3 linked regions of the Macaca fascicularis genome follow. The protein of the gene in region 1 interacts with the protein of each later gene in a pairwise test. Links are inferred from orthologs where the notes say so. Each region holds a gene or a part of one and is shown on either strand. Other genes may lie near its edges.

Region 1 (3,511 bases):
AACAGCAATCATGGTAAGCTGTACAATAAGGCTGAGGGTTGAAAACGTGATGTAAGGGCTGAAAGAAAGAGTTTGCCAGCATGTGCAGTGATTTTGGGTTCTGAATGTTAGTATACATCCATGGATATAGATTCTCATTGCACTGAGTATCAGCGGGAGATGAGCTGATTTTTTTTATTTTTTTCAGACGGAGTCTTGCTCTGTCTCCCAGGCTCACTACAACCCTGGGTCCAAGAGATTCTTGTGCCTCAGCCTCTTTATTAGAGACAGGGTTTCACCGTGTTGGCCAGGCTGGTCTCAAACTCCTGACCTCAAGTGATCCACCCACCTCGGCCTCCCAAAGTGCTGGGACAGGCGTGAGCCACTGTACCTGGCCGTGAGAAATGTTTTATGATGTGAGAAAATACAGGAGTATTTGGTCATGATTCCACCCGTGGTGAAGGACTATCCTGCAGATGATGGACTCTCAGGTCAGATTACAATAGAAATAAAGAGGACTTTGAAAATGGAAGGGTTTTGGCATTAATAGTACAGAGAAAAGCAGTCTGGAGAGAGAGAACACCCTAATCATTGTGGTTTGGTTTAGTTAGGGGAGTGGACAGTTTACAGCATGCATTGTCTAAGAGAAGAATAATCACCCCTAAGGAGGTGAAAATTGGTTCTTGAGATGTGAAAAAATACTTCATAATCCTTCGTGGTCCTCCAGAGACTCATACTAAATATGGAAGAATGTTGGTGAAAAAGTAGGAGAGAATATTTGTTTAGTTAAGGAAACCAGGCTTGGATTATATAAGGGCGGAGAAGAAACAGAAGATTAGAAGACTAGGGTGTTGGCAACCTGAACATGACTCTTGTCTTACTGCTTCCAGACTGTGGGCAAGAGTAGCAAGATGCTGCAGCACATTGACTATAGAATGAGATGTATCCTACAAGATGGCCGAATCTTCATTGGCACCTTTAAGGCTTTTGACAAGCATATGAATTTGATCCTCTGTGATTGTGATGAGTTCAGAAAGATCAAGTAAGCTGATTTGGGTAAATGGGGGTTGGACGCAGAGGCAGTGGGAAAGGAAGGCCAGAGCTGGAGTAAGGGATTTCCAAGGGTAACTGAGGTAGGTAGGGAAGCTAAGGTAGAGCCAGTCTATTGTTTCACCTCTTGACCTGATCTCTGAATTAGGTCAGAGTCTGCATATAAACTCTTTTAAGTTTGTGAGACAATCATGGATTTATTACTGGGAATAAAAGTGTAGTGCTCAAAATATTAAGTTATATTTATTTTTAAAATTGAGAAAAATGCTATTGTTAATTAATTGGTTGGCTTCTGCAGCAGTCTTAGACCGAATAAATCTGGGTTGAAATAGAGAATAATAATTGCTCTTCACGGTTGAGGAGTTGGGATATGGTTGCTATTTGTTATCCTCTCTTTGCCTATTACTGTTCGCATTATTTCAGTTGTGTCATCCTGTCATTATGATTTAATTATTTAAGTAATTTTTTAAAGAAATTTCCATTTTAATATGGAAACCGAAGTTTCAACTTTGTTTTCCTTAAAAGGCGTTTTACAAAAGAAATTCGTCTTGTTGTAGTGTTAACATCAAAGGAACATTCTGTAAAAGACTAAAGTTAGATCAGAAAACAGCTTTACTATTTACCCTTTTATATTAACTGTTTACAGATTTTTTTTGGTTTGTTTTTCAGTGATAACTTAATATCTGTTTAGCATCGGTTGCCTTAATTGATACTTGAGGTTGTATAAATATTTTGATGAGTGAGTAATCTAGGGGTCACTAAAATTATCTCACTAAAATTTAATTCTGATTTGTAGGCCAAAGAATGCGAAGCAACCAGAGCGTGAAGAAAAGCGGGTTTTGGGTCTGGTGTTGCTGCGTGGGGAGAACTTGGTATCCATGACTGTGGAGGGGCCACCCCCCAAAGATGTAAGGAAGATGTAGAGCAGGACAGAACTCTAATTTGCAAGGACATCATATTATGTGAGATGTCTGAAATCACAGTACAGCACAGACACAGTTTAACATGGATTGTCAAATGTGCCAAGCACTTAGTATCAATTGTTGGTTGCCTATGCTATTTGGGATTAAGGGTTTTTTGGTGAATTATTCTGTGTGCTGGGCATTACCTAGGTGAGGGTAGGAGTTGCTGATTCATGTTTGCTTGGTATGTTTATAAAAGAGCTGTTTTCACAATTTGACAAATAATGTGCATTTTATCCACAAGATACCTCCATGGTATACTTGCTTGTTCATTTGGATACAGAACTAATACGAGATAAATGTCTGGGAAAATGGTGGAGAGAAGTGATCTCTGATGCATAAAAATACTGAGAACTTGTAAATTGTTTGATTTTAGGCTATACATTTTCTTGTTTCAGACTGGCATTGCTCGGGTACCACTTGCTGGAGCTGCTGGAGGCCCTGGGGTTGGTAGGGCAGCTGGTAGAGGAGTACCAGCTGGTGTGCCAATTCCCCAGGCCCCTGCTGGATTGGCAGGCCCTGTCCGAGGAGTTGGGGGACCGTCCCAGCAGGTGAGGAACCAGCGGAGGGTTTTATATTGGGAGAATGTGACTAAGCCAGAGGCCGAGGAGATTTAAAAACCTGAGTGTACATGTCATACTATGTAAAGGGCATATGGTCTAGGAGGAACCAACGGACAGATATACAGGAGGAAGGGAATAAAACTAGCTACTTAAAATGGTCATTGGGTGATTAAAATTACCCGAGTTACTCTTGGTAAGAGTAACTTGCCACTAGTGGTGAGTGAACGGAATGCCTGGATATACCTCAGTTGAAAAGATCAAAGGGCTTTGTGGATGTCAGTGTACTAAGATTAGTTTTTAAAATATGGGAATAGGCAGGTGCGGTGGCTTATGCCTGTAGTCCAGCACTTTGGGAGGCCACAGTGGGCAGATCACTTGAGGTCAGGAGTTGGAGACCAGCCTGGCCCACATGGTGAAAACCCCGTCTCTACTAAAAGCACAAAAACCTGCTGGGCCTGGTTGGGGGCACCTGTGATCCCAGCTACCCAGCAGGCTGAGACAGGAGAACCGCTTGAACCCGGGAGTGGGAGGCTGCAGTGGGCTGAGATTGCACCATTGCATTGCAGCCTGGGTGACAAGAGTGAAACTGTCTCAAAAAAAAAACATGGGAATAACGAGAGAAGTACAACATTGCAACAGTTGTTTGTATCTAATTGGCCATTTTTCTCATTTATTTTCTGTGTTTGAATAACGTGAAGGTATGTATCACTTTGTTGGTTTCTCCCCTTGCCTTCTCAGGTAATGACTCCACAGGGAAGAGGCACTGTAGCAGCTGCTGCTGTTGCTGCCACCGCCAGCATTGCTGGAGCCCCAACACAGTACCCACCAGGACGGGGGACTCCGCCCCCACCTGTTGGCAGAGCAACCCCACCTCCAGGTAAGGGATTGGTGAACATTAAGACGAATTTGAATCTCTGACTAGAGAGAGCTTACTGATTTAAGACACAGCCTGAGGGC
Region 2 (4,115 bases), on another chromosome or scaffold:
ACGGTTCCCCAAGGCACGAGAGCTCCCAAGGCGGCTCCAGTAGGACTTTTCGCTTCTGGGGAAGGTGGCGCCCCTTCTACCCGGACCCTCCCACCATGCGGACAAGGGTCGCAATCCTGCCAGTGTCAGGAAACCCCCACTGACTGGAGCGAGGCGGGTGTGGGGGTGAGGCGGGAGTCGGCCCAAGGTCGCGCGGCTGGACCCTGCCCCGCGCTAGGGCGGGGTCCCCTTCGTTCCTAGGGTGAAGACTGGGCCCACAGAGAGGCACTGACCGGGCTCGAGCGGCGGCCCCGCTGCCTCCGCCTCCGTCCTCATGACCCGGGCGGCGCGGGGCGCCCATGGCCCCGGCCCAGAGCGGGCTACAGCTTCCGCTTCGGCTGGGGCGGTAGGGCGGTCGGTGCGTGTCGAGTTCCTTCTCCGCCACCGCCGCCGCTGCGGAGGGGAGAACCGGAGGCGGTGGCTGGGCCGCCCCAAGCCCCGCCCCAGCCCTTCCAGGTCTCGAATCTGGAGGCCCCGCCCTTTCTCTAAGCCCCGCCCCAAACTTTGATCCTAGAGGCCCCCAGCCTCCCGATTTAAATCTGCCCCGGCCATTCACCGCCTCAGCGTCGAGTGACCCAGCCCTCTCGTCCAATCCTCGCGCAGCCGCGAAGCCCAACAAGACGCGGACCCGGAAGCTCCGCCCCTTTCCTTGAGCCCCGCCCCAAAGCCCGTGCATTTCGTGAACAGAGGCTCCTCCCTTCAGCAAGCCCCGCCTCTGCCGGGGCCCGCTCCTTTGCCAGTCTTAGCTGTAAACCCTGGTCCGGCCCAGTGTATTCCGGAGGCTCCAAACAACTCTCCTTAAACTGCCTTTAGGGATGACCCTGAGCCGGCCTCCTCTCTACTCTATACCTAACTTTATCCGTACGAGATACGTAGCCTCACTCAGGGCGCCCCTTACCTGGCGGTGCTGGGATCAAAAAATTAAATTGTGAGGGGAAGTCCTGGCCCTTGGCCCAACCTCCTGCTGCCCCCGGTCTGAGGGCCCAGGCCCCGAGTCTCCGCCTTGCCGTCCAGCCTGTCCTTGGTGTGGGGCGCTTGGAAGTGCAAGCACCCTCTCTGGCTCTTTGCCGGCCCCAAGGGTCGTTGTTTGCGGCGGTCCCCGGGCCCAGTCTTCGGCCCTCTTTTCCGGTGCCGGAACTATCGTACTGGTGCCTTAGTTTCCCAGCCGGCACGCGGGGTGAGGAGGAAGCGGAGGCGACACCGCTCTCACCACTGGGGAAAGGAAGGAGGCGGGCCCTGCGCGCAGCATTTTGGGAACGAGTGGAATTCTGGGAGCTGGGCCCGCCATTCTCTTGATTCACGCCTTCGCCGTAGCGGCTTTCGCCGTGCACCGAAGAGAAGGAAAAGTAGGCCAGAACCGGTGAGGCTGGGGACGGGCGAGGGGAGGTCGAGGTGCCTGTGAGGGGCCGGGGGCTGGAGAAAGACTCAATGCATGAACTCTGCGGGATTCGGGGAGGGAAGAAAGCGGGAAGTTTGGACCACCCAAACATCAGCGTCGCCTCACTAGCGCCTGGAAGTAAGTTCATTAGCTGCTCCCTCAATGTGCATGCTTCTTACATTCTGTATCTCTCCAGGTGAGTGTTTTTCAAAGTTTCCAGGCAGTAATCTTGAAGTTATTTCCTATGAGTTTTTTGAATCTTGAAGTCAAATCCTATGAGGGTTTTTTTTTTTTTTTTTTTTAAAGTAGAGACGGTTTCACCATGTTACCCTGGCTGGTCTCGAACTCCTGGGCTCAAGGGATCCACCGGCTTCGTCCTTCAAAAGTGTTGGGACTACGGGCGTGAGCCATCGCGCCCAGCCGGTCATTTTTTAAAAAGTTCTTTGCATGTCTGCCCCCAGCTCCCTTTCAGGCAGTGGTCCCGTCATGCTTTCCACACTGTTGCAGCAGTTTTAACTGTTGCAGAAATTTTAACAAGTTTCTCTGCTTCTAAACCTTACGTTAGATCCATTTTGTAAATAAATGCTGCTACCTTTTCATTGTGTCATTCTTTACCTATAATTTTGCAGTGGTTCCCCACTATCTTCAGCATAAAATCTAGGCTCCTAAGGCTGAAAGCCAGGGATCCTCACCAAAGGAGCCTGTCTTTTCAACCTCATGTTCTCCTGTCTTAGGTGCACTTAGGTTCCAACTTTGAGTCGTCGCTCATGTCAATAAAAAGTTCACTACTTGATGCTTTTAATTAGGTCAAGTCAGGTGCTTTCCCTTATTTTCCTCCATGACGGGCATTTCCTGCATATAGCACGTTGTCACTTCGATATTTTCTCAATATCCTTGATGGTAAAGTAAGGGAAGGGTTAAAGAGCTGCATTAAAAGTACAGTCTCCTCTCCTAGATATGCATGGTCCTTAGGTCTGTATCTGCTCCTTCCGTAGGGTAGCCACCAGCTACATGTAGCTGTTGAGCACTTGGAATATGGCCACTGGGATTGAGGGACTGGGTTTTTTATTTTAATTCTATTGTGTTTTAGTTAAGTTTAATTTAAATAGCTACATGTGGACATGAGCTACTGTATTGGACAGCTCAGGCCTGTGTTATGATTCTCAAAATATAATAATCTACAATTAAGGGTTGACAAATAACAGTGCAACAGATTAACATTCCAATCCCCCTCCCCTACACACACAGTATTCGCTAATGGTCCTTTAGCTGAAGATTAAGGGACATAGGGTAGCAGGGACACATGGTCGATGGGAGATGCTCTCTTTTCATTCCTATTTTTACTTCTGTCCACCCCACCATTCCTCCTCACCCGACATCTTGCACATATTTGCCAGATAGTTTCCTCCAAGCCAGGAGCTGAGCTTTCTTTTTTCTTTTTCTTTGATAGAAAATGCAGCTTTGGCGTTTTTGCTAAGTTTTATGGAGTGCCAGGCCTTGAAGGAGGCATGACGTGTGCCGCATGCCTTCTCAGACTCTGAAAGATGAACTGACTGTTGTCTCTTTCACTGTAGAGCTCTCTTCCTGCCAAGATGTCTATTGGTGTGCCAATTAAAGTGCTGCACGAGGCCGAGGGCCACATTGTGACATGTGAGACGAACACCGGTGAGGTATATCGGGGGAAGCTCATTGAAGCAGAGGACAACATGAACTGCCAGGTATTCTGCTTTGCATGTGAGGCTGTGTGGGAGGAATGGCCCTGTGTCTTGAAGGACAGAAAGGTGTGGGTTGGGGGTCTTCTGTAAATTGTTCTCATTCAGCAATGATTTCCTGAGTGCCTAACACATACCAGTCAGGTGCTGTTATAGGCTCTGGGGATGTGGGCATGAACAAAACACATAGTCTTGAGGCAGAAAAGCCATTTGGAGATTTGGAATATTTTACTTCGCCTTTTTTGTTTTTTCCATCCCCAAATTTGGGGACCTGTTTGGGAGAAGTTCCTTCAGTAGAATCCTTCAGGTTCAGAGCCATTATCCATTTGCCTCCACTTGCTTTGCAGTTAGGAGAATCTTCTCACATACTGTGTTTGTTTCCCTTTTCTCTTGGAGGAGGAGTCTCATTTGATTATTGCAACTACCTTGTGAGGTAAGCAGGTTTGGTGGTAGTCTTGTCATCCATAAAATAGGGAGAATGAGATTAAAGGACTCATCACTCTGATAGTAAATAATGGAGTAGTTTCTTGATACGGTGTCCTTCTCATGGCGCAGCTTTGCCTTTTGCATAGTCATCTGAATTTTTATAGCATTGTTTTTCAGTTGTATCTTCACACTTTCTTTGTTCTTTAAACCATTGGTTAAGAACTTGGACTTGGGAGTCAGAGAGAGATGTGGGTTTGATTCCTAATTATATGACCTTAGATGTATTAATCACTCAGTTTTCTCATCTGTAAAACGGGAGTGTTATTATTTTGGGTTCTTTGATGTAGATGCCAAGACAGAATTATGCAAGGTATTTATTGGGGGAAATGACAATAAAGGATAAAGGAACAAGGAAACAGTAGTAGGCAGGGAAATTTTCAGTCCGTGATGCTGGTCTGACTGGTGAAACGAGAGGGGAAAGAAGGAGGATTGAGCAGGAAGAACCTTAGACTACAGTGTAGTTTTGAGGAAGTCTCAGCAAGGCAGTGATTGCTCATTAG
Region 3 (4,207 bases), on another chromosome or scaffold:
ATGTCTGGCCTTGGAGGTTGCTGCTCATTTTTCTGGAATTTTCTTAGATCTCTGCAGGGCTGCCCCTCCCCCTACAAGGGCTCCACACGTGTTCCCTCCTTCATGACTCCCACTGGGCTTCCCTGACAGGGCCCCACCCTCCCCAAAGCTCTGGTGATACCTGCCAGGTTTCCTCCAGGCCACAGCTGGGCAGCCCGGTCTTAGAACAGAAAGTGGTACGCATGGCAGGCCCGACTGAGGGCCCAGCACTGTCAGTGGGGTCAGAGGTCTTCCCAGGCCTGGAAGGGCAGACATGGGCTTCTCAGGGCAGCCTAGGACGCGTCCTCACGAACCACAGCGAAACTAGAGCAGGTGTCTCTCGGATAGGAGTCTGCATCATTCCGTCTCCAGGCTGTGGTTTCTCAAATTATGCAACTATCTGATCATTCCAGTGTGCTCAGAGTAGCCACGCGCAGAGGCCCTTCCCACAACTCCCCACGGGGTGGATGGAAGCGTCCACTCGCGGCGCGAGGAATATCCCTGGGCCCCTCGGGAGAGTCTGCAGGGGCAGCCCCTGGGTGAGCAGGCCCGGTGCGGCCTCTCCCTGAAGGGACTTTCGGGCCCTCCCGGGTCGGGGCGTTTCCCGCAGCGGGCAGAAGCAGAGCTGGCTACAAACCCTACTCTTGTTAAAGGAGAAACGGGGTCGAGAAGGGGGTTCTCCAGCCCTGAACTTCCCGGGCCGGGAACAGCGCGCTGGGCCGGGCAGAACGCGGCCCCTCCCGGAGTCGGGGTCCCCCCCGGCTGGGGACGAACTGGGGCGGGCGCGCTTCTCCTCCCGGGGCCCCATGTGCGGCCGGCTCTTGGACGGTAAATCAGGGCTCGGGTGGGGGCGATGGGGGGAACCCGCGGCCTCGGTGCCCCTGGCCAGCCCCGGGGACAGCGGCACCGCAAGGACAAGTCTTCGGAGGCGCACGGGCCAGGCCGCGGGGCCAGAAGCGAGCGGGGGAGGGCGGCGGCTGGCGGGGCGGGAAGGGAGCGGGGCGGCCGCTGCGCGGAGGAGCGCCATTTACGTTCGGGTCCGTTCCGGGCGCTGACGTGGGCGACCCTGCCTCGGCTTCCGGGCCCGGCGCCGTCCCGCAGGGGGCCTCGGGGCGGGCGGCGCTCCTGCCAGCGGTGCTGAGCCCGGCCCGACCCTGCCCGCCTTCCTCCGGGACAGGCGGTTTAGAACGTGCGGAACACCGGGCCTCGGGCCTCCGCCGGGCTGCAGGCCCCGTGAGCTTCCCGCCAGGCTCCCGCCCCGCCCCGCAGCCGCGCCCGGCCGGGCGGGCCCTGAGCCGCCCGCGTGAGTCCGTGCGCCGCCCGCGCCGGGAACCAGGAGACCAACCGCGAGGCCCCGCCCGCGCGCGCCGCCGTGTCCCCGCCCGCGCGGTCGTCGGAGCGCGGCTCAGCGGCGCGGCGGAGGCTCGGCACGGCGGCGGCCAGGCGCAGGCGAGCGGGCGGAGCAGCGGACGGCACCGAGGCCGCCCCACGCGCCGGACTCGCGGCGGCGCAGCGCGCCGGAGTGGTCGGGGCCCGCGGCCGCTCGCGCCTCTCGATGGGCAGCTCGCACTTGCTCAACAAGGGCCTGCCGCTCGGTAAGGCCGCGCGCGCGCGCGTTTCCGGCCGCGGGCGGGGGCGGGGCGGGGCGGGGGCCGCGCGGGCGGGGGGCGCGGGGGCGGGCCGAGCGCGCGCCCGCGGGCCGCCGGCTTTGTGTGCGAGTGCGCGTGCGCGCCGTCGTCCGCGCGTGGCCGCGGTCGGGGGCGGGACCGCGGCAAGGGTCGTGCGCATGCGCGGGCCGCTGCGTGTGAGCGAGCGCCGCCGTGTGCACTCCCCGCCCGCGGCCCGCGCAGGTGACACAAAGGGGCCCGTGGGCCTCCAGGCTGCTCCACCGACCCCAGCCCCATGGGACCCGGGACGGCACCCCGAGTCCCGAGTCCCGATCCCCGGCCGCTACCCCGTCCCCGGTCACGACCCCGCGGCTGGGCCTGCGGGACCGGGGTGGGAGCTGCGCCGTGCGCAGCTACGGGTGTCCTGGGGAGCGCGCTCCCGGGCCACTCGCGGGAGCGCGCCCCCTCCCGCCCTGAGGCTGCCGGCGACCGCGGCCGCGCGCTGTGGGGGAAGGGGACGGGGCCTGGGCGCCGGGTCTGACCGTGGAGGAGGCCGCCGCCCTCAGACCGGGCCCAAAGCGCAGCCCCCGGCGGTGACGCGGGCGGTCCCCGGGGGTCTCCGCTCCCGCGAACTCCGCGAGGGCCCGGCCCGGCCCGGCGCCTCCACCTGCCTCTGCCTGTGCCGGCCCGGGTCCCGGGGCGCCTTCCTCGCCGGCTGCGGCCCCGGAAGCAGGGAGCACGGGCGGACGCCGGGCGCACGGCCATCGCCATCTTGCAGCGCCCGCATCCTGGGCCGGCCCGGGCCGCTCCGCGGAGCCTCTCTCTCCCTCGACACGGCTGCAAAGGCAGAGCCCGCGCGCTTGATCCCCGGGCCAAAGCTGGAGCGTTCTCTGGCGGCCTCCAAGGGCATCGGTGTCCAGAAGCCCGGCCGGGGCCAGAGCCCTTTTGCTGTAGTCTCCGCGATTGCCGGGACAGAATTCCCTTCCAGTGGGGAAAAGGGAAGGCGGTCGCGCCCTTCCCGGTGCCCTGAGTGGGGAGGTGAAACCCTGAGAGTTGGGGCTAGAGGGCCCGGAGCCAGGGCCGAGGCGGCGGGTGCGCAGGGTGCTCCGTGGAGCCCGAGCACCCCCAGCCAAGTCCTCTCCACCGTTTCTGTAGGAGCTCGGCAGGGAGCACAAGTCCGTCGGGAAGAAAACGGCGCTGGTGGCTGGGCCCGCGCCGCGGGCGTCCTCGCTGAGCTCCTAGCGCATGGCCTGTGCGCGTCTGTGTACCCGTCTGCGGCTTGGGGCAGGGTTGGGGCAGCACCGTGGGGTAACTATTTGCCGTTGCAGCTGAGGATGACAGCTGCGGTTTGGGGGTCTCTCGTTCTGTGTCCTGGAACTTTGTAGGGCGTGGCTCTGCCCTGGGCCTCAGCACCAGGTCTCCCCTGCCCGCCCAGGCCTGGCCACCTCCCTCTGGGGTCTGGGTTTGGCTCCTGGTTGGCACTGTCAGCTCTGCAGACGCGTTTTGCCCTCTGTGATTCTGTCGCCCATCTTTGAGCACCTGCTTCCATGCTGGCGTCCTCTGCAGAACTCTGGGAGGGACATGCAGTGGGGGCTGCATCTGCTCACTGCCCGGGGTGCCTTGTCCACCTGCCTGGCCGTTTTTGAGGTGTCTGCCATGTCCGCAGCATGTACTTCGTCCTGTCAGCCTTGACCAGGGCAGCTGTTAGTTCTGAGAGGTGGACATGTGGTTGGGAATGTCAGTGAGTAGGATCTTCCCTTTTGCACACTTGTCATTAACCTGAGAACATGGCAGTGGGGGAGGGGAGGTTTGGCCCCGGGTGCACGGGACTGTGGGCTGGTCCTGTCCGTCTGCTGAGTGGGATGGGCCTTGGCCCAGTCCTGTGGGCTTGGCGCAGAACCGACCCCAGCCACATCCTGGGGAGATTGGAGGTGCTGGCTGGTCCTGTCTGCCTCCTCCAAGGGCTGGGAGCCCCCCACTCTTTGGACGTTTGTAGTGTAAGGTTCCATTATCCAGCAGACAGCCACTGTTAACAGTCACTCTGTTAATAAGTTTTTTCTGGAGGAACCCTGGACAGAAGTAGTCACGCTCTGCAGGAAACGGGTCCCAGGCTCGAGAGGCCTAGTCTCTTCCTTTGGAGCTCAGAGGTGGCTGTTCAGCCACACCTGGCTCGCCTGGCAGTTTTTCTCCTCTGACTGTAACTAGCCCTTTCAACTTCCTGTGGCCACTGCCCCCAGAGTGTGACCTGGTCTGAGCTGATGGTGGCGTCCCTGAGCCAAGAGGCGTACGGCTGGTACCACTAGTGTTGCTGAGAACCCTTCAGGCAGCGTTCTGTGCCTGGCTGTGCCCTGGCGCTCCCCACGCAGTGCCCAAGTCAAAGGCGTGTGCCCTGTGAGGTGTTTACCCGAGTGACTCTCCTTCCAGAAGGACTTCTTGTTTTCCCCTCCACTCAGGGCTGGAGAGGGCTCCGTACGGGTGGTGCTGACGGTGCAGGCCTGGCTCAGGGCCCAGGGGTGGCCAGGAGGTGGTGGAGGCAGCAGGTGGTGTCCTCCGGGTTCTGTGGTTGAACTGCATCGCCTGAG

What was found.
Region 2: the proteins of SNRPN (region 1) and SNRPD3 interact in a two-hybrid assay, tested with the Homo sapiens proteins (2 studies listed by BioGRID, with this or other methods). The link is inferred for Macaca fascicularis from reciprocal best matches to the Homo sapiens genes SNRPN and SNRPD3.
Region 3: the proteins of SNRPN (region 1) and CTBP1 interact in a two-hybrid assay, tested with the Homo sapiens proteins (2 studies listed by BioGRID and IntAct). The link is inferred for Macaca fascicularis from reciprocal best matches to the Homo sapiens genes SNRPN and CTBP1.

The regions. Positions count from the first base shown.
Region 1 is NC_088381.1:4,135,598-4,139,108, reverse strand, and holds part of SNRPN (small nuclear ribonucleoprotein-associated protein N), read left to right. Parts: 5' UTR 1-10; coding exon 11-13; intron 14-869; coding exon 870-1,021; intron 1,022-1,825; coding exon 1,826-1,937; intron 1,938-2,389; coding exon 2,390-2,542; intron 2,543-3,292; coding exon 3,293-3,431; intron 3,432-3,511.
Region 2 is NC_088384.1:28,879,724-28,883,838, reverse strand, and holds the start of SNRPD3 (small nuclear ribonucleoprotein Sm D3), read left to right. Parts: upstream 1-1,310; 5' UTR 1,311-1,399; intron 1,400-2,991; 5' UTR 2,992-3,009; coding exon 3,010-3,135; intron 3,136-4,115. Other genes in the region: protein GUCD1, read right to left, coding at 273-315. UniProt on the Homo sapiens protein: Plays a role in pre-mRNA splicing as a core component of the spliceosomal U1, U2, U4 and U5 small nuclear ribonucleoproteins (snRNPs), the building blocks of the spliceosome.
Region 3 is NC_088379.1:1,343,335-1,347,541, reverse strand, and holds the start of CTBP1 (C-terminal-binding protein 1), read left to right. Parts: upstream 1-1,398; 5' UTR 1,399-1,573; coding exon 1,574-1,613; intron 1,614-1,798; exon of another isoform or gene 1,799-2,933; intron 2,934-4,207. UniProt on the Homo sapiens protein: Corepressor targeting diverse transcription regulators such as GLIS2 or BCL6. Has dehydrogenase activity. Involved in controlling the equilibrium between tubular and stacked structures in the Golgi complex.